Linked DNA regions of Oryctolagus cuniculus. The protein of the gene in region 1 interacts with the protein of each later gene in a biochemical or structural test. Links are inferred from orthologs where the notes say so. Each region holds a gene or a part of one and is shown in the gene's direction. Other genes may lie near its edges.

The links.
Region 2: of the proteins of MCM6 (region 1) and DBF4, one has a biochemical effect on the other in vitro, tested with the Homo sapiens proteins (2 studies listed by BioGRID). The link is inferred for Oryctolagus cuniculus from reciprocal best matches to the Homo sapiens genes MCM6 and DBF4.
Region 3: of the proteins of MCM6 (region 1) and CDC7, one has a biochemical effect on the other in vitro, tested with the Homo sapiens proteins (2 studies listed by BioGRID). The link is inferred for Oryctolagus cuniculus from reciprocal best matches to the Homo sapiens genes MCM6 and CDC7.
Region 4: the proteins of MCM6 (region 1) and MCMBP form a complex in vitro, tested with the Homo sapiens proteins (2 studies listed by BioGRID). The link is inferred for Oryctolagus cuniculus from reciprocal best matches to the Homo sapiens genes MCM6 and MCMBP.

What each region holds. Positions count from the first base shown.
Region 1 is NC_091434.1:107,465,659-107,470,585, forward strand, and holds part of MCM6 (DNA replication licensing factor MCM6), read left to right. Parts: intron 1-934; coding exon 935-1,045; intron 1,046-2,220; coding exon 2,221-2,470; intron 2,471-4,927. UniProt on the Homo sapiens protein: Acts as a component of the MCM2-7 complex (MCM complex) which is the replicative helicase essential for 'once per cell cycle' DNA replication initiation and elongation in eukaryotic cells.
Region 2 is NC_091447.1:47,448,451-47,452,620, reverse strand, and holds the end of DBF4 (protein DBF4 homolog A), read left to right. Parts: intron 1-1,510; coding exon 1,511-2,480; 3' UTR 2,481-2,891; downstream 2,892-4,170. UniProt on the Homo sapiens protein: Regulatory subunit for CDC7 which activates its kinase activity thereby playing a central role in DNA replication and cell proliferation. Required for progression of S phase.
Region 3 is NC_091438.1:79,103,352-79,108,278, reverse strand, and holds part of CDC7 (cell division cycle 7-related protein kinase), read left to right. Parts: intron 1-1,737; coding exon 1,738-1,831; intron 1,832-1,916; coding exon 1,917-2,059; intron 2,060-2,518; exon of another isoform or gene 2,519-3,035; intron 3,036-3,562; exon of another isoform or gene 3,563-3,635; intron 3,636-4,927. UniProt on the Homo sapiens protein: Kinase involved in initiation of DNA replication. Phosphorylates critical substrates that regulate the G1/S phase transition and initiation of DNA replication, such as MCM proteins and CLASPIN.
Region 4 is NC_091446.1:10,873,251-10,878,177, forward strand, and holds part of MCMBP (mini-chromosome maintenance complex-binding protein), read left to right. Parts: intron 1-657; coding exon 658-823; intron 824-2,634; coding exon 2,635-2,768; intron 2,769-3,399; coding exon 3,400-3,564; intron 3,565-4,927. UniProt on the Homo sapiens protein: Associated component of the MCM complex that acts as a regulator of DNA replication.

The sequences.
Region 1 (4,927 bases):
CCATATGTGTGCTGCTTTGAATCCTGGTTGCTCTATTTCCTATCCAGCTCCCTGCTAATGTGCCTGGGAAAGCAGTGGAAGATAGCCCAAGTTCTTGGGCCCCTGTATCCACTGGGAGACCTGGAAGAAGCTCCTAGATCCTGGCGGGGTCCCTCCTGGCCTGTGTGGCCATTTAGGGAGTGAACCAATGGATGGAAGATCTCTTATCTCTGTGTCTCCTCTCTCTAGCTCTGTCTTTCAGATAAATAAAATCTTTATAAAAAAAAGAAAGGTTGGAAGAATATATACCCTGAAGACTTAGAATCCTCACAAGTGAGGGAGAGAGAGAAAATTAGGTTTAGAGGTAGGAGTGAGTACCTGTGCTAAACTTCCTAAATGAGCTGTCCATCTTTTTTTTTTTTTTCTAGGTCTGTTCCTTAAACCAAGCTACCATAGCTATTGGGGACTTAAGATACACCAGATGAACCAGTCAAGTGAAACATTTCTGCGTGTTTGCTAAATTTCTCCCTTATCCTCATCCATTATCAGTTAAGAATGTAACCAAAAACTACTATATATGCTAGGGCCTGACAACAAATATGAAGTTGTCTTAATTAGATTGTAAACAGCCCTGTGAAAACTCACAGTATTCAGCATCATACTGACAAGACAGATGGTTTAGGTAGAGTTGTGTTGGACAAAGGAGTGACCTTTGTCACTAGAATGTGAGTGCTAAATTACTCAAAGATAAGATAGGTATAGCATTTATCTTTGGTGTTATGTGGTGGGATGGGAGAGGGTTGAAAGAGACTCTTAAACCCAGATTAGATGATAGAAATGTCCTGTACAGTTAAGTCCTAGGGCTTGATTGTGACCAGATGAAATTCCTTAGACTCAGCTGTTGCAAGAGAGATGTAAGATATCTGAGCTATCAGCTGACTTTTTTCTTTTTCAGAGTTTACCCTTACCTGTGTCGGGCCTTAAAAACTTTCGTCAAAGACCGGAAAGAGATCCCTCTTGCCAAGGATTTTTATGTTGCATTTCAAGACCTGCCTACTAGACACAAGTAAGAAAAACTCTTCTTAGAAAAGGAATTCACCAAATAATATTGGTACCATTTAGCTGACAGTCAGAAAATTTGGGAGGTTACACTGATGTGCTATAGCGAGCTGTTTAATATCACACAAATCACATTTGCCTCCTGGGGCCTCAGTTTTTCATATGTAAAATCTTTTGGTTTAGATTTTTTTTTCTACCTAATCATGCAAAAGGTAGATTTCTTGCTGTAAAATTACTTATTCATGCTTGGTAGTGACAAGAATTGAAAAAAATAAAAAGAAAGTACTTATAAATTGATGAATATGGGGGGAGGAATAGTGTTTTGTGTGCACATTTTGTAAACAGATTGGCTTTTTTCTAGTTACACCTGGTTGTACAGAACATTTAGTTTTAGAAAAACATGATTTTCTATGAAGATGGGATGGTAAGTAAAGTGAAGCAGATTCTTATGATTGTTCATTTTATAGCACATTTAAAAAGGGAAGCTTGGGGCAAAAATGAGAAAATAGCACTCAGAACACTTGTAGAGATTTATAAATCTTCTGAATATTTTGTTATCTTAAATACAAAGCTTTCAAATAGTCTTTAGTAATTACGTTAAAAAGATACTATTGAAAGAAATTGAAGTGGTATTTTTGCTCAATCTCGGGTGGCTGAACGCCACTTATCCCTCTAAGAAGTTGGGGGACGCCGACCGCTCGGGGGTCGCGTAACTGAAGTGGTATTTTTGAGAACTAAAACTGCTGAAAATATGTTACGAAATTACCAAGTTTTTCATATAAAATGTATGTGTGAAATAGTTTTTCAACTTCTGAGTATAACATTTTTTCCTTTGATAACTTCATTATGAAAGTAATTAATGATTTCTTAGAAATTGTAGATAAGCAAAAACAGTATATAAAACAAAGCTGAGATTATCCTGTTTGTAATTTTAACTTTATTTGGTGTCCTTTAGTTAGCTTTTCATATTTATTCATCTATATGTTTTGTTGTGAATATGTGTGCACTGTGTAATTTAGGAATAGGGGTGTTGACAAAGAATCGTTTTTTTTCAGTAGTGTCCAAAGAACACTTTGCCTTTTTTTTTAAAGTGTAAATTATCATTGAATTTTCTCATTAGGATGGAAAGATTTCTTAGTTGAGAAATGAATATTTACTAGTGGGATATTTATCTTTAAACAGGATTCGTGAACTCACTTCATCCAGAATTGGTTTGCTCACCCGCATCAGTGGGCAGGTGGTACGGACTCACCCAGTTCACCCAGAGCTAGTGAGCGGAACATTCCTGTGCTTGGACTGTCAGACAGTGATCAAGGATGTAGAACAGCAGTTCAAATACACACAGCCAAATATCTGCCGAAACCCAGTTTGTGCCAATAGGAGAAGATTCTTGCTGGATACAAATAAATCGAGATTTGTTGATTTTCAGAAGGTATTTCTTTCCTTTTCTTTAGACCAGATTCAGTTCTGATTCCCTTTCTGGCCCTTGCAATTAGTTTATTTAGGTAATGTTAAATTCAGTCTTTATGTGAATTATCGTTGAAAGTGACCATAGAGATGTGTGTTTAGTAGTTAAGATTCCTGTGTCCCATACCAGAATACCTGGGTTTGAATCTCAGTTCTGTATCCTGATTCCAGCTTCCTGCTAATGCAGATCTTGGAAGGGAACAGTGATAGCTCAAGTAATTAGTTTCCTGCCCCCCACTTGGGAGAGCTGGATTGAGTTCCTAGCTCCTGGCTTTGGCACCTGGCCTAGTCTGTCATTGTGGGCATTTGGGGAGTGAACCAGATGGGAGCACTGTCTGTTTGTCTCTCTTTCTTCCAAATAAATATGAAAGGGGAGAAAGGAAAGAAATATATTTGTCAAAGAATAAACAGTAGCTATTATGATAATGATGAAGAAGAATTGGAGTTAAGAAAACTTAGGAGAAGTAGCAATATATTAGTATAAAACTTTGAATTGGTTAAAAAAAAAGCATGAGTGAATGGACAGGCTAAGATGGAAGCTATGAGATGATCATGATTGAAGTGTTAAGATCCAAATTGGAGGTCAGCTGAGAGATGATTTCATATGAAGCCTATAGGTGTTTGGATCCTTAAATCTTAGTTGACAAGTTCAGCACTGTCTGTAAGAATTGGAGATACAGCTATATTATTTAAGAGGCAAAGTCCTCATCTCCTGGTTCATTCCCCAAATGCCCAGGATGCCTGGATTGGGCCAGGCTGAACCTAGGATCTGGGAATTCAGTCCATTTGTACTTGATGGGTGGCAGGAACTCAACCACTTGAACCATCACCTGCTACATTCCAGGATGTGCTTTAGCAGGAAGTTGGAATCAGGAGCAGATTCCTGACTTGAAGTCAGGTACTCTGATTTGAAGACCAAACACTGACTCAGATTTTCTTTTCTTTTTTTTTTTTTCTTTTTTTTTTTTTTTTTCCAGGGGAAATTTAATGGGACAGTGTTTAATAAATCTTAACAGGTAGTTTTAGTTGCCTGGGTAAGAAGCGATGGTAGTAAGAATGAAGAGGAGGAGTCAGCATCATGGCTCAGGGTTGAACCACCACCTGTGATGCTGGTATTTCCATATGAGCACCAGTGTGAGTCCCAGCTACTCCACTTCTGATCCAGCTCTATGCTAATGTGCATGGGAAAGCAGTGGAAGATGGCTCAAGCATTTGGGCCCCTGATGCCCATGTGGGAGACCTGGATGGGGTTCCAGATTCCTACCTTCAGCCTGCCACAGTCCTGTCCGTTGGGGCCACTTCGGAAGTGAACCAGCAGGTGGAAGATCTCTTCCTGTCTCTTCCTATCTCTAACTCTGCCTTTCAAATAAATGTATAATTAGAGGTGAGGGGAGATCTTTCATCTGCTGGTTCACTCCCTAAATGGCCACAATGACCAGGGCTGGGCCTTGCTGAAGTCTGCAGCCAGGAGCTTCTTCCGGGTCTCCCATCTTCCATTGTTTCCCTAGGCTTACTAGCAGGGAGCGGGATTGAAAGTGGAGCAGCCAGGACATGAACCAGCACCCATATGGCATGCCAACACCGTGGATCGAGGTGTAACCAACCCACTGTGCCACAGCACCGACTCCAATAAATTTCTAAAAAAGAGAGAGAAGCTCTCAGACCTTGGTAAATTTCTATAGGATATGCAAAGAAGAGAAGCTTTAGCATGGAGAAATGATCAGAGTAAAACGAGTAAAGTTGAATTCTGTTTTTCTTAAGGCAGTTTTCTTAAGCTTAATTTTCTTAAGCCAATCTGATAATTTATAAGAAGCATCAATACTTTAGGAGAGAGTTTATTAAAAGAACATGATGCGGGCCATGTGTTGTGGCACAGCAGGTTGAACCACTGCTTCAAATGCCTGCATCTCATATTGGAGTGCTAGTTCAAGTCATGGCTGCTCCATGTCCAGTCTGGCATTCCTGCTAATGCATCCTGAGAGGCAGCAGATGGTGGCTCAAGTGCTTGGTCCCCTGCCATTATGGGAGACTTGGATGAAGTTGAGGCTCAGCCCTGGTTGTTGGCAGGCATTTGGTGAGTGAACCAGAGGATGGAAGATAACTGTGTGTCTACCACATGATGTGACTGTGAGATACAAAGCATGTGTCTAGACTAGGTCTTGGTTTGGGGGAAAGAACATAACTATAATAAAGGATGTTCTTGGAGCTGACATTTGGTACAGCAGTTAAGAAGCCACTTAGGGGGCTGGTGCTATGGTGTAGAAGATAAGCCGCCGCCTGAAACAGCATCCCATGTGGACATTGGTTTGTCTCAGCTGTTCCGCTTACGATCCAGCTCCCTGCTAATGTGCCCGGGAAAGCAGCGGAGGATGGCCCAAGTGCTTGGTGCCCTGCATCCACATGAGATTCCTGGAAGTAGCTC
Region 2 (4,170 bases), on another chromosome or scaffold:
GCTTTTATTTAATGAATACAAATTTCATAGGTACAGCTTTAGGAATATAGTGGTTCTTCCCCCTATACCCACCCTCCCACCCCCACTCCAATCCCACCTCCTGCTCCCTCTCCCATCCCATTCTTAATTAGTATTCATTTTTTAATTAACTTTATATACAGAAGACCAACTCTATTCTAAGATTTCCAGTTTGCACCCACACAAACACACAAAGTATGAAGTACTGTTTGAAAACAAGTTTTGTAGTTAATTCTCATAGTACAACTCATTAAGGACAGAGGTCCTACATGGAGAGTAAGTGCACAGTGATTCCCAACAGGACTTTTAACTGAAAATACAGTTTAGTCAATGTACAATGACTACATACTGATTAAGGAAAATGGTCCTAATTAGATTATTATTGAGATTAAAGGGTGATGCTCACTAAATGGATACCCCTGTACCTAGAGTTAGTGATGATTCAATAAGTTATTCTGTCTTTAGATCTATTTTAGACTAATGGTATTTATTTTGATTTATAAAGATACTTATATTAATTTTGACTTCCTGCAGCCTCCCTACACCCCGTTAAAGATTTATTTGAAAGCTGGCAGAGTTAGAGAGGGAGAGACAGAGAGAAGGATCCTTCATCCACTGGTTCACTCCTCAGATGACTGCAATGGCTAGGGCTGGGCCAGGCCAGAGTCAGGAGCTTCATTGGGTCTCCCACATGGGTAGCAGGAGCTGAAGAACCTAAGACATCTTCTGGTGCTTTCTCAGGCCATTAGCAGGGAGCTGGATCAGAAGTGGAGCAGCTGGGACCCAAATCAGGAACCATTCTGATTGAAGGGGCAGACAAAATTGTATTACATTTATCATTATTATTTGTGTTATATATAACATAAAACATAGTTGGTGAGCTGTTAACTTCTGTATTTGTATAGATTGTTTCATAAAACGACCATCACAAGGATATCAAGACACTATAAAGAAAAGGGTTTCAGGTTAAATATGTGCCATCTTTAGAAGTATAAACATTTTAAGTTCTCATTTTATTCTTAAATAATAAGTATTTTCTACCTTTGATTTCTCAATAAATACTCAATTTTCCACAATGCTAAATAAGAAGAGTAAAATATTCATTAATACAAATCAAAAGTACAGAAGTAAAGAAATTTTTCAGAATCATGAGAGCAAAATTAAGAGCAGGCCCAAATTCATTTACTATCATTTTTCTTGACTGTACATGATTAAACTAGTTTTAAGCACCCAGTTCAGGATATTTGATAACTTTGGGGTGGAGAGTGAAGAATGTGGAAAAGAGTGAGAAGAATTTTCAGCTGTATCTGTAAAGTCTTGATTACTTTAAAAACATCTTAAAAATAAATTAGACAAAATGTTGAGTTCTGTGCTTTTGTGATATTTTCTAAGTTAGGTAGGTTTCTTAAATAGTTTTAAGATATTTTTGCTAATTCTGTTTCTAACAAGATTTTGTTTTGATAGCAAATATTTTAATTTTTTTTCTACAAAGAATAAAATACAGTATTGGATCCTTTTCTCCTGTTTCTGCTAATATCCTGAAAAAGACTCAACCAAAGCAAAAGCTACAATTGCAGCATATTTCTCAGAAAGACTTGAGAGAGAGTAAGATACAGGTGATGGAGCAGAATTTCCTGTGTGAAGAAACTCAGGAACCTGAACAAAAGCTTGTGTTGATTTCAGAACCCATCCACAGCGCTTCAAATGAACTGAGAGAACTCAATGAAAAAATGAGTCCTATGTTAAATACAGCTGAAAATGATACAAAACAAAATTTTACACAGCTACCTCCACATAAAAATAAACAGGAATTCATTCTTGACATTTCTGATACTAAATTAAGTAAAAACGACTTAGAAGAGCTAGGGGTAGATCACTGTCCTTGTAGGCTACAGACTTCTATACAAGTTTCTGTTTTCAGTGCAAATAGTGCTGCTCAACCAAAACAGAACTCAGATACTGTGAATTTTCCAACAAAGAATCTGAAGGAAAAGGAACTTCATTCATTACTTGGTCACAGTTCTGATCTGAGAACAATCAACAGTTCACAAGAGCACCTAACAGTTCAGGCAAAGACTCAATCCCCTCATCCTGGTGAAGAACCCAGTGAATGTGACATCAAAAATGTGGATAGTTTACGTTCTTGTAAAATACGTCGAAAAGTGAAAATGTTATTAGGACGAAATAAAAAAGAAAATCTGGAGCCAAATGCTGAATTGGATAAGAAGAGAACTGAATTTCTTATTACACAAGAAGAAAACAGAATCTGTAGTTCACCAGTACAGTCTCTACTGGACTTATTTCAGACTAGTGAGGAGAAGTCAGAATTTATGGGTTTCACAAGTTATACTGAAAACAGTGGTGTATGTGATGTTTTAGATATTTGGGAAGAGGAAAATTCTAATAATCTGTTGTCGATGTTTTTTTCTTCCCCCTCAAATTCTACATTTACTGGCTTTTAGACTTTAAAGGATGTGTATTTTTCGAAAGTCACATAGATCAAATTCTTGAAATCTATTTTAGAAATATATATAAAAATTCTTAGGAGTTTTTGGCTACCTTTGTTTACAGAACCAAATGTAAATATTAATAAAGGTGATGTTTCCAATTTTCTACAGAATTTAATATATTAGGAAAATTATAAACTTTTCACTTTGTCATATTTTACTGTGTTCATAATTATTTTGTGAGAATTATAATGAAAAATATAGTTTGCTGTATGCCACTAAAATTTGAGTTTGAGAATATTAAAAATGTATCAACATAAATTTGGATATTTTAAGTTACACTTATTGTCCATTACAATAGATTCTTATGATAACATGGCATTATTAAAAATCTGCAAATTAAAAACATTTCATGGAAAAGGAAAAGATGTGTTAATTTCTGTTAGAATTTTGGACGTCATTGTGACTCAGTTGGGTCAGGTTAGTGTTTTGTAACTGACAGATTATCTGTAGGGTAAATAGAAGCCATGAAGGAAAAACTTAACCAGCTGCAATGTGGACTATAGCTCTTGTGCTATTCTTAATTATTTACCTTTGGAAATAACTTTGAGAGTAGTGACTCATTATGCTTCTTCTAACTTAGTGTTGAGAGAAAAAGGATGGTATTGAATTGCAGATAGAGTTTTGAAATCTGTATCAGAATTGCTTTGCTCTACCACTTGCCTGTACAATATTTTGGAATAAATACACATATAACAGCAATTTATCTTTTTATCAGAAGATAGAAGGCAATAACAGTGGCATTTTTTCATGGTAGAAAATTGGTGCCATTGAATATCACATGAATACATTGTCACTAAAAATTAACTTTAGTTAACAGTTGTAAATTTTTGAAATCGTATATGGCTCCCAATATAGAATTAGTTGCATACTTTCTTATACATGGAAAGAGCATTTCCATTTCTTTCAGTACACTTGTATTATGTTAACCATTGCAGGTTACCAGTGAGAATACTGGCTTTTCAACAACTTGATTATTCTTACCAGTTCCTTAGGTAGGATCAATGAAAGAGTCTACAGTGCATATAAGCAAAGCTTGTTTTAGTTGTAGATCACTATTGTAGCATTTTCTGTCACAAATGAACATGTGTATCTCTGAATTGATGTCAAGTTTTATAGAGAGTGTTCTAAAAATCTAGAAACTTAGAAAATAATTTGAAGGGTTTTTTCCTTAAGTTAATATCTGTATGTCCCCCAAATCCAGAATAATTAAAAGGTAAACTTGCTATATTAATCTTTGACTCTACAGTGAGTCTCCTCAATTTGCAGTTATGTTTGCACCACAATTATTTGTATCATTTTGCTTCCCTGGTATTTAATGAAGGTGGGGGTGGGAGACTGAAGCTGAACCCTCTAGTAGTTGGTAAATACTTTGGATATTGGACTGAACACTGTAAGATTTTCATAATGAATAATCAGCTTTTACGAAATGTTTAGGTTGCAGTTTGTTTGAATGGTGCTATAAACTGAAGCAGGACTATCACATGGCATTTGCATTGGGTTGCATTATGGGGTGGGTACTCAGCCTATAGGATCAAAGCTGATAGAAATCCAGCATAGTTGCAGCATATAATTGTCCTGGCAATGAGTACATTCACCTAGAGGTCAGTGCTTTTGTAAGTTTTTTTTACCAAGGCCCAGCCTA
Region 3 (4,927 bases), on another chromosome or scaffold:
TTTTCTCGCTTGACTTCCCAGTTAAGATTTAGTCCTGGGGGCCAGCATTGTGATGTAGCCAATTAAGCTGCCGCCTGCAGTGCTGGCATCCTATATGGGTGCCCATTTGCACTTCCAATCTGGCTCCCTGCTGATGGCCTGGGAAAGCAGTAAAAGGTGGCCCCAGTGCTTGGGCCTCTGCCACCCATGTGGGAGACCCAGAAAAATCTCCTTGCTCCTGGCTTTAACCTGGCCCAGCCTTGGCCATGTGGCTATCTGGGGAATGAACCAGCAAATGGAAGATCTCTGTCTCTCCTTTTCTCTCTAACTTTGTCTTTCAAAGAAATAAATAAAATATTAAGAAAAAAAGATTGGGGCGGGTATTGGCATAGCTGGTAAAGCCATCACCTGTAGTGCCAGCATCCCGAACGGGCACCAATTCATATCCTGGCTGCTCCACTTCCAATACAACTCCCTGCTGATGGCCTGGGAAAAACAGTAGAAGATGGCCCAAGTGTTTAGACTCCTGCCACCCATGTGGGAAGCCAAGATGAAGTTCCTGGCTCCTGGCTTCTGTCTGGCCCAGCCCTGGCCATCACTGCCATCTGGGGAGTGAACCAGCAGATGGAAGATGTCTCTCTCTATATATAACTCTGCCTTTCAAATAAATAAATACATCTTTAAAAAATTTAAAATATTTAGTCCCATATCTAAATTTTTCTTTTAAAATGATGAATTGTTGGTGTTGTTTGTTTGCTTGTTTTACTTAATTTTTTTGGCATCTACTTATTACAGTCAGTATCAAAATCATGGAAATCAACATTATTCCATTTTCCTTACCCGTTAAGAAACATTGTGATTAAGAACATTGGTTAGGAATAAACTAACAGGATTCAACTTGTAACTCAAGGGGCAAGTTTTGGCCTCGTGACTAAGGTGCTGGTTGAGATGTTTGCCTCCGATGTTGGAGTGCGTGGGTTTGAGTCCATCTCCATTGCCAATTGTAGCTTCTTGCTAAAGTGCACCCTGGGAGGCAACAGGTGATGGCTCAAGTGCTTGGGTCCCTGCCACCTATATGCGAGGCCTAGACTGAGTCCCAGCCTGACACAGCCCCAGCCCTTGTAGGCATCTGGGAGGTGAACGAGCTCTCCCTCTGTCTGTATCTCTCTCTCCTGTGCCTCTCTAAATAATTTTAAAAGTTTTTTTTTTTTTTTTTTTTTTTTTTTTAAGTCGTGGCTCCGAGACTTACTAGTTTAATGACCTTGGACAAGTTCTTTAACCTCTCTGTGCCTGTTTCTTCATCTGTGAACATGGAAAGAAATAGTAGCACCTTCCTCGTAGGGTTTCTTTGGAGAGTAAGTGAATTTGTTGTGGTAGATACGAAGTACTTAGATCAGAGCTAGTTGTGTAGTAAGTGTTCAATTAATGTTACCTGGAATGAACGTACTATTCTTACCATCTTATCTGCTACCAAATCTCAATTCATTCTTGTTTATCTTTTCCTTCTTTTTTCGCCACTTCTAATTACCTCATATTTGAATTATTATAGTGACCTCATAGCTGATAACAATTTTTATTTTAAAAGAATGCTTGCTTTCTTATCCAAGTGAGTTAAATGTTATACTATCTTGTGATGATTTAAGTCAGTTTTATACTGCATGCATGCATTGTTAAAGTTATATTTTTTTAAAAAAAGATTAAGCTGTAATGATTCAGTTTGATCTTTCCTCTAAAGCTCACTGAACTTTTTTCCACTAGGGGGCAAGACAACGTCATGGGAGTTAAATATTGCTTTAGGAAAAATGATCATGTTGTTATTGCTATGCCATACCTAGAACATGAGTCTTTTTTGGTAAGTTTTAATATTTCTTGAATTTTTATTAGCTAAATATTTAATTGAAAACTATCTTATGACCCTATTTATAACTTTATTTTAGGACATTTTGAATTCTCTTTCCTTTCAAGAAGTACGGGAATACATGTTTAATCTGTTCAGAGCTTTGAAACGCATTCACCAGTTTGGTATTGTTCACCGTGATGTTAAGCCCAGCAATTTTTTATATAATAGACGCCTGAAAAAGTGAGTATGAAGAGTTCCTAGATAATACTTTCACTTCAATGAATTTGTGTGATAGGGTCCAGCCCTTAGACATACACTTCAGCAGTCACGTCCAAATCGTTTCTTTCTTTGTGATTAGGAAAGGAAAATGCAGAGAAGATAACTTTGTATTAGTAAAGCAGTGTATATCATTAGAGGAACTGTGGTTTAGAGTAAATAACTCTTAGTTAAGAAACTTATAATCTTTGAATTTACACATGACTTCATTTTTCTTTTCTAATAAATGAGGAATTAAACCACATAATAACCAGTTTCCTGTTTAAACATTAAAGCTCTATTTTTATGTATACTTTTTATGCTAATTATATACATAGAGGAATAAAATAACTTAAATGCTGCTGTTTATATAGTATATCATATTGAATATGGTAACAAGATTAAGAGTGTAACTTGTTTGTTGGGATTTTATAGCCATGATTTTTCTTTTTCTTTTTAAAAATTTTTTTTTCTTAATTATTTTTAACAGATTCAGTGTGCTGTGTAGATAGAATTCTAAGAACATAGTGATATTCCCTCCTTCTCCCTTTCCCTCTCTTTTCCCCTGTCACCTTTCCACCCTCCTTTCTTTGCCCTTTTATTCTTTTTTTTAGTTTTTGAGATACATATTTTAAATTTACATTACAGTAAAAAGGTTTAATACTTCACTGAATAAGAAGTTTAACAAGGTGCTGGCACTGTGGCATAGCGGGTAGGGCCGCCTGCTGCCGGTTCGAGTCCTGGCTGCTCCGCTTCCAATCCAGCTCTCTGCTAAGGCCCGGGAAAGCAGTAGAAGATGGCCCAAGTCCTTGGGACCTTGCACCCATGTAGGAGACCTGGAAGAAGCTCCTGGATCCTGGCTTTGGATCGGCGCAGCTCCGGCTGTTGCAGTCAGTTGGAGAGTGAACCAGCAGATGGAAGACCTCTCTCTCTCTGCCTCTCCTTCTCTGTGTAACTGTGACTTTCAAGTACAAGGAAAAAAAAAAAAGTTTAACAAGTAAAAAGCAAAAAGACCTGAGCTTAGTGTGACTATAGACAATAGCTATACAGAATAATTGAATGGAAAAATGACCATTTCACCCCTATAGAGTAAATTTTTTATTTTTACTTATTTGAAAGGCAGAGAAACAGGGAGACAGAGGTTTCCCATTCACTAGTTTACCCTCCAAATGCTTATAACAGCTGGGGCTGGGCCAGGCCAAAAAACCAGGAGCTGAGAACTTAATCTGGTTCTCCCACATGAGTGACAGGGACCTGGGTACTAGAACCATACCCCTGCTGCCTACCTCGGTGTACTTTAGCAGGAAGCTGGAATGGAGAGCAGAGCTGAGACTTAAACCAAGTACTCTGATAGGGCATGCAAAAGATATCCCAAGCAGCAGCTTAACTTCGGTGCTAAATGCCCACTCCTTTAGTTTTTAAAAATTAAGTCATATGTTAAAACCATTATTTCAACTTCTCTTTTAAACTTGTTTTATTAGAAATTACCTGCTGTGATGCCATCTGTGCCACGATCAGAGAATAAAGCATTGTATTTATATTGCCCCATTAACATAGGCCACTGGAAAAGAGAGAGAAAAGCAGTTGACTGTGGAGTGTGTCATTTCTTTTTCTCTTTTTTGTTTTAAGATTTATTTTATTTATATGAAAGAGCCGAGAGAGGAAGAGACAGAGAGAAACATCTTCAATTTGCTGGTTTGTTCTCCAAATAGACACAATAGTCAGAGCTGAGCAAGACTGAAGCTAGTATCCTAGAAGTCCATCTGAGTCTTCCATGCAGGTGGCAGGGACCCTGGACCCAAACACTTGGACCATCTTCTACTGCTTTTCTTAGGTATATTAGGGAGCTTGAGGGGCTGGCGCTGTGGCGCAGTGGGTTAATGCCCTGGCCTGAAGCACCGGCATCCCATATGGGCACCGGTTAGAGACCTAGCTGCTTCACTTCTAATCCAACTCTCTGCTATGGCCTGAGAAAGTAGCAGCAGATGGCCCATATCCTTGGGCCCCTGCACCCATGTGGGAGACTTGGAAAAGCTCCTGGCTTCGGAATGGCACAGCTCCGGCCATATGGTCAGTTGGGGGTGAACCATCGGATGGAAGACCTCTCTCTCTCTCTGCCTTTCCTCTCTCTGTGTAACTCTTTCAAATAAATAAATCTTAAAAAAAAAAAAAAAAAAGAGCTGGAACAAAATGGAGCAGCTGGGACTTTAACTGGGGCACCCGTAGGAGATGCCAGTATTGCAGTTAGCAGTTTAGCCTGCTAAGCCATAGTGCCAGCTCCTGGAATATATAATTTCTTTTTTTTTTTTTTTTTAAGATTTATTTGAAAGACAAAGTTACACAGAGGCAGAGAGAAGGAGAGAGAAAAGTCTTCCATCCTCTGGTTCACCCCCAAATGGCCTCAACAGCTGGAACTGGGCTCATCTGACCCAGAGCCAGGAGCTTCCTCCAGGCCTCCCACAGGGTTGCAGGGGCCCAGCAATTAGGCCATCTTCTGCTTTCCCAGGCCATAGGAGAGAGCTGAATCAGAAGTGGAGCAGCCAGAACTTGAACAGGCGCCCATATGGGATGGCGGCACTGCAGGTGGTGGCTTTACCTGCTATGCTACAGCGCCAGCCCCTATATCATTTCTTAATTTTCAATTCTACCTTGGTGTTAAATCCTTGCTTTGTAAAATGTATTTTTTTTTCTTGAACACTGTTCTTTCTTTCTTTCTTTCTTTTTTTTTTTTTTTTTTTTTGACAGGCAGAATTAGAGAGAGAGAAAGGTCTTCCTTTTTCCATTGATTCACCCCCCAAATGGTTGCTACTGCCGGTGCACTGCGCCGATCCAAAGCCAGGAGCCAGGTGCAGG
Region 4 (4,927 bases), on another chromosome or scaffold:
TTGCCCCTCTTCCAGGCCAGCTCTCTGCTATGGCCAGGGAGTGCAGTGGAGGATGGCCCAGGTGCTTGGGCCCTGCACCCCATGGGAGACCAGGAAAAGCACCTGGCTCCTGGCTCCTGCCAGGATCAGCGCGGTGCGCCGGCTGCAGCGGCGGCCATTGGAGGGTGAACCAACGGCAAAGGAAGACCTTTCTCTCTCTGTCTCTCTCTCTCACTGTCCACTCTGCCTGTCAAAAAAAAAAAAAAAAAAAAAAAAAAAAAACATTTATTATTTATTTAAAAGGAGAGTTAGAGAGAGAGAGAGAGGTCTTCCATCTGCTGATTCACTCCCCAAATGGCCGCAATGGCTGGAGCTGGGCCAATCAGGAGCCAGGAGCTTCTCCTGGGTCTCCTACGCAGGTACAGGGGCCCAAGGACTTGGGCCATCTTCCAGTGCTTTCTCAGTCCATAACAGAGAGCTGGATCAGAGTGGAGCAGCCAGGACTCCAGCTGGCACCCACATGGGATGCCAGCACTGCAGGCGGCAGCTTAACATGCTGCACCACAGAGCTGGCCCCCATTACAAGCTTTTAATTGGATCCTCCACAAACTTTTTGAAGTATCCCAATATTAAAACAGGGAAACTTAGATCCTTGCTTATAAGAAAACTTCTCTGCAGTCTTTTCGCCTACAGATGACGATAGAGAACATGAACCATTTGAAGTTCATCCCCCACAAAGACTACGCGGCGAATCGCTTGGTCAGTGGACTCCTGCAGCTGCCCAGCAACACCTCCCTCGTCATTGACGAGACGCTCCTGGAGCAGGGTCAGCTGGACAGCCCAGGTAGGGGCGGGGCTCCTCCTCCACCTCCACCCTCCCTGCCCTGAAAGGCAGATGTACAAATGACCTGAGATAGGGTATCTCTGAACAAAGTCACATTTCTTTTTCTTTTTTTAAAGACTTATTTATTTGAAAGTCAGAGATTGATTGTCCATCCGCTATTCACTTTCCAAATGACCACAACAGCTGGTGCTGGGCCAGGCCGAAGCCGAGAGTCTCATTTGGGTCTCCCATGTGGGTGCAGGGGCCCAAACACTTGGGCCATCTTCCATTGCTTTTTCCCTAGGCCATTAGCAGGGAGGTGGATCGGAAGGGGAACAACCAGGACACGAACCCGTGCCCATGTGGGATGCTGGCATCGCAGGCAGCAAGCTCTACCAGCTGTGCTATGTATTTATTTTCATTTGAAAAGCAGAAAGAGGGAAAGCGGTATCTTCCATCCAGTGGTTCACTCCCCAGAGACCCTCAACAGCCAAGAGCCCAAAGCTCCACATGGGTCCCCCACATGTTCTGTCACCTGCAGCCTCCCAGGATGTACATTAGGAAGAAGCTGGACTGTACGCAGAGGAGCCAGGACTTGAACCAGGCCCTCTCATACAGGACGCCAGTGTCCTAAGCAATAGTTTAAGTGCTCTGCCAAACTCTTGCCTCCAGTATAAAGTTTTCAGGGAACCTCTGAGAAAGTATGTAATAGACCACATAGTTTGAAGTAACCTCAGTTATGGAACATGTTATTAAATTTATAGGAAAACACTTTTTAAAAGTTTTATTTATTTGCAAGTCAGAGTTACACACAGAGAGGAGAGGCAGAGAGAAAGAGGTCTTCCATCTGATGGTTCACTCCCCAGATGGCCACAATGGCTGGAGCTGCGCTGATCTGAAGCCGGGAGCTTCTTCAGGTCTCCCACGTAGGTGCAGGGGCCCAAGGACTTGGGCCATCTTCTACTGCTTTCCCAGGCCACAGCAGAGAGCTGGATGGGAAGTGGAGCACCTGGGTCTTGTACTGGTGCCCATATGGGATGCTGGTGCTTCAGGCTAGGGCATTAACCTACTGCACCACAGCGCCAGCCCCAGAAAACAGACTTTTATCCATGCTGAAACACAGAGAATGGAGATGCGACTGCTGGTGATAAGTTCAGGAGGTAAGAGGAGAAGAAAAAAATAATGCAGACTGAGTACATGTAAAGTAGAAGAGAGTATAAAACATCAGTAAACATCACAGGGCTGCTGTAGCATCATGGGTAAAGCTGCCCCCTGTGATGCCAGCATCTCATACGGGTGCTGCTTTGTGTCCCAGCTGCCCCACTTCTATCCAGCTCCTTGCCTGTGGAGAGGGTCCAAGTGTCCAGGCTCCTGCCACCTATGTGGGGGACCAGGATCCGATATAGCTCCTGGCTTCAGCCTGGTCGAACCCTCCATTGCGGCCATCTGGAGAGTGAACCAGTACATGGAAGATCCTTCTCTTTCCCTGTCTGTAAATCTGCCTTTCAAATAATTAAAGTAAATCTTTTTTAAAAAGTTTTAGCCCTATCATTATTTCAGGCCGTAGGAGCACATTGCCTTGGATCCTTTATGCCCTGTGGCACATCAGACACGAGGCGTTTGATTTGGGGACATCTTCACCCTAGAAGGTTCTAGCTTGACAGAAAAGCCCTGTTGTCTGTGGAGCATATCACCTAAGGAATATTTAGTAAATTGGAGAGGGCTCTATATCCTTTAATAAAGCAGTGGGAACCTCATGTGCTAACATCTGTGTCAGCAAAACTAATTTGGTGATTCAAATCCAATGACTGGAAATGGCCTCGCTTTTCTAGGGGTCCACAACGTGACTGCCCTGAGCAAGCTCATAACCTGGCAGAAGGTGGATTACGACTTTAGCTACCACCAGATGGAGTTCCCTTGCAACATCAACGTTCTCATCACCTCGGAGGGGCGCTCCCTCCTCCCGGTAGGCCGGGGCCTGTGTGCCTGGAGGGGCTCAGTTACCCTGCGCCGGGTTTTGATGCTGCTGATAATCAGTGCGCTGCACTCGTATACAACTTGTGGCTACTGATTGTTAATAAGGAAATTGATTATTCTGTTCCTTCCTTGGGGTGAAAGCTTCTATTTGCAAAGAAGCAGGTGTCCACACAGTACAAGGTATGCAAAGCCCCTGGCAGCAGGGCTGCCACGTCGTGGCCTGGGAGGTAGAAGTGGCTGGTTACTTGCCCGAGTATCACCCTGTTGTTTTCAGCCAAGCTTGTGTGAGAAATGCTCTAGAGATCTTGGCAGATGCTCCTAGTCCCTTGGCGCTGTGTTCAGGGTGACCAGTCCTGCTGGTTGCCAGGTGTCTATGATGCCCCCACCGCTGGAGAGGAGGCGCCCGTGACAGGGCAAGGCTCGCTGGGCAGCTGTCTGGGAGCGTGCTGGGTAACCGAGAGCCAGCCATCTTCTGTCAGCACTGCGCAGGTCCCCTAGTGCGTAGAAACCAGAAACGGTGTTTTCTAACTCCCCTGGCGGCTGCTAGCGATGTCGCACCCTCCCGAAAACGGAGATTAAATCAGGAACGTGGGGAGACCGCGTCCTGCTTCTCTGTGCAGGCCGACTGCCAGGTGCACTTGCAGCCCCAGCTCGTCCCACCCAACATGGAGGAGCACATGAGCAGCCTGCTGGCCGGCGTGCTGCCCTCGGCGCTCAGCAAGTTCCGCGTCTACCTGACCCTGCTGCGGTTCCTGGACTACAGCATCTCCGACGACGTGACCAAGGTACCGCAGGGCGCCTGGGCGGAGCCGCTGTGCGGTCATGTGCAGGCAGACCGTGATCTGCTGGTTCAGTCCCCAAACGGCCAACAGCTCGGCCAGGCGGGAGCTTCATCCAGCTCTCACAAGGTGGTACAAGGGCCCAAGCCCCTGGGCCATCTCCCACTGCATTCCCAGGCACATTTGCAGGGAGCTGGATTGGAGTGGGGTAGCTGGGACTCAAACAGATGCCGGCATCGTAGGCAGCTTAACCCTTTGGATCACCATGCCCACTCCTCTTTTTTCTATTCCTCTCTTCCTCCATTATTGGCAACTTTCATTTGAAATGGATGTTTTCGGGCCTGGGGTCAACTGCTTCCATTCCAGCTCCCTGCTGATGTGCCTGGGAAAGTAGCCTGGGCCCCTGCACCCACATCGGAGATTTGGATGAAGCTCCTGGATCCTGTCTTTGGCCTGGCCCAGCCCTGGCCATTGTATTCATTTGAGGAGTGAACCAGTGGATAGAAGAGCTCTCTCTCTGCCTCTACTTCTCTGTAACTGAGTTTCAAATAAATAAATTTTAATAATATAACCTATTTGGGATTAATGCCAGTTTATTTAAAAATATGTAACCTGTATGACTATAAAGATTTATGTGTTGGAGAGGCAGAGAGGTCTTCCATCCGCTGGTTCACTCCTCAGATGGCCACAACGTCTGGAGCTGTGCCAATCTGAAGCCAGTAGCTTCTTCTGGATCTCCTATGCAGGTGCAGGGGTCCACTTGGACCATCTTCTGCTGCTTTCCCAGGCCATAGCAGAGAGCTGGACTGGAAGAGAGGTAGCTGGTACTTGAACTAGCACCCATATGGGATGCTGGAAATATAGGTGGCGGCTTTACCCGCTGAGACACAGTGCCAACCCCAGGTTACATTTTCAGACATCGTACACCCGTTAACACATTTGCAACTTACTGCTTCTATGCACTTGTCTTTTAAATCAGAGGAAAAAAGGCCTTTATTTTTACATTCACCTACGTCGTTACCTTTGCCAGGCTGAGTTTTATGTCACCATCCAGTGTCCTCTCATGCCAACCTGAAGCACTCAGTGTTTCCCGTAGGGAATGTCTGAATTTCTCCTTCATGCTGGTTTGCTGGGTAGAATTCTGGGCTTATAGTCCTCTTTCAAGCACTTTTAACCGCCTTCTGGCCTCTGCTTTCTCATGAGAGGATCGTTGGTACACAGCAAGCCGCTCTGCTCGACAGCCCGCCGTGGCATGTCTTCAGCTTGTCCTGGCTGGAGTTAGTTGAGCTTCTTGAATGTTGCACACTAAAGCACATTCTGGTGAAGTTGTCAGCGAATTTGGGAAATTTGGGCCATTATTTCTGTAAAT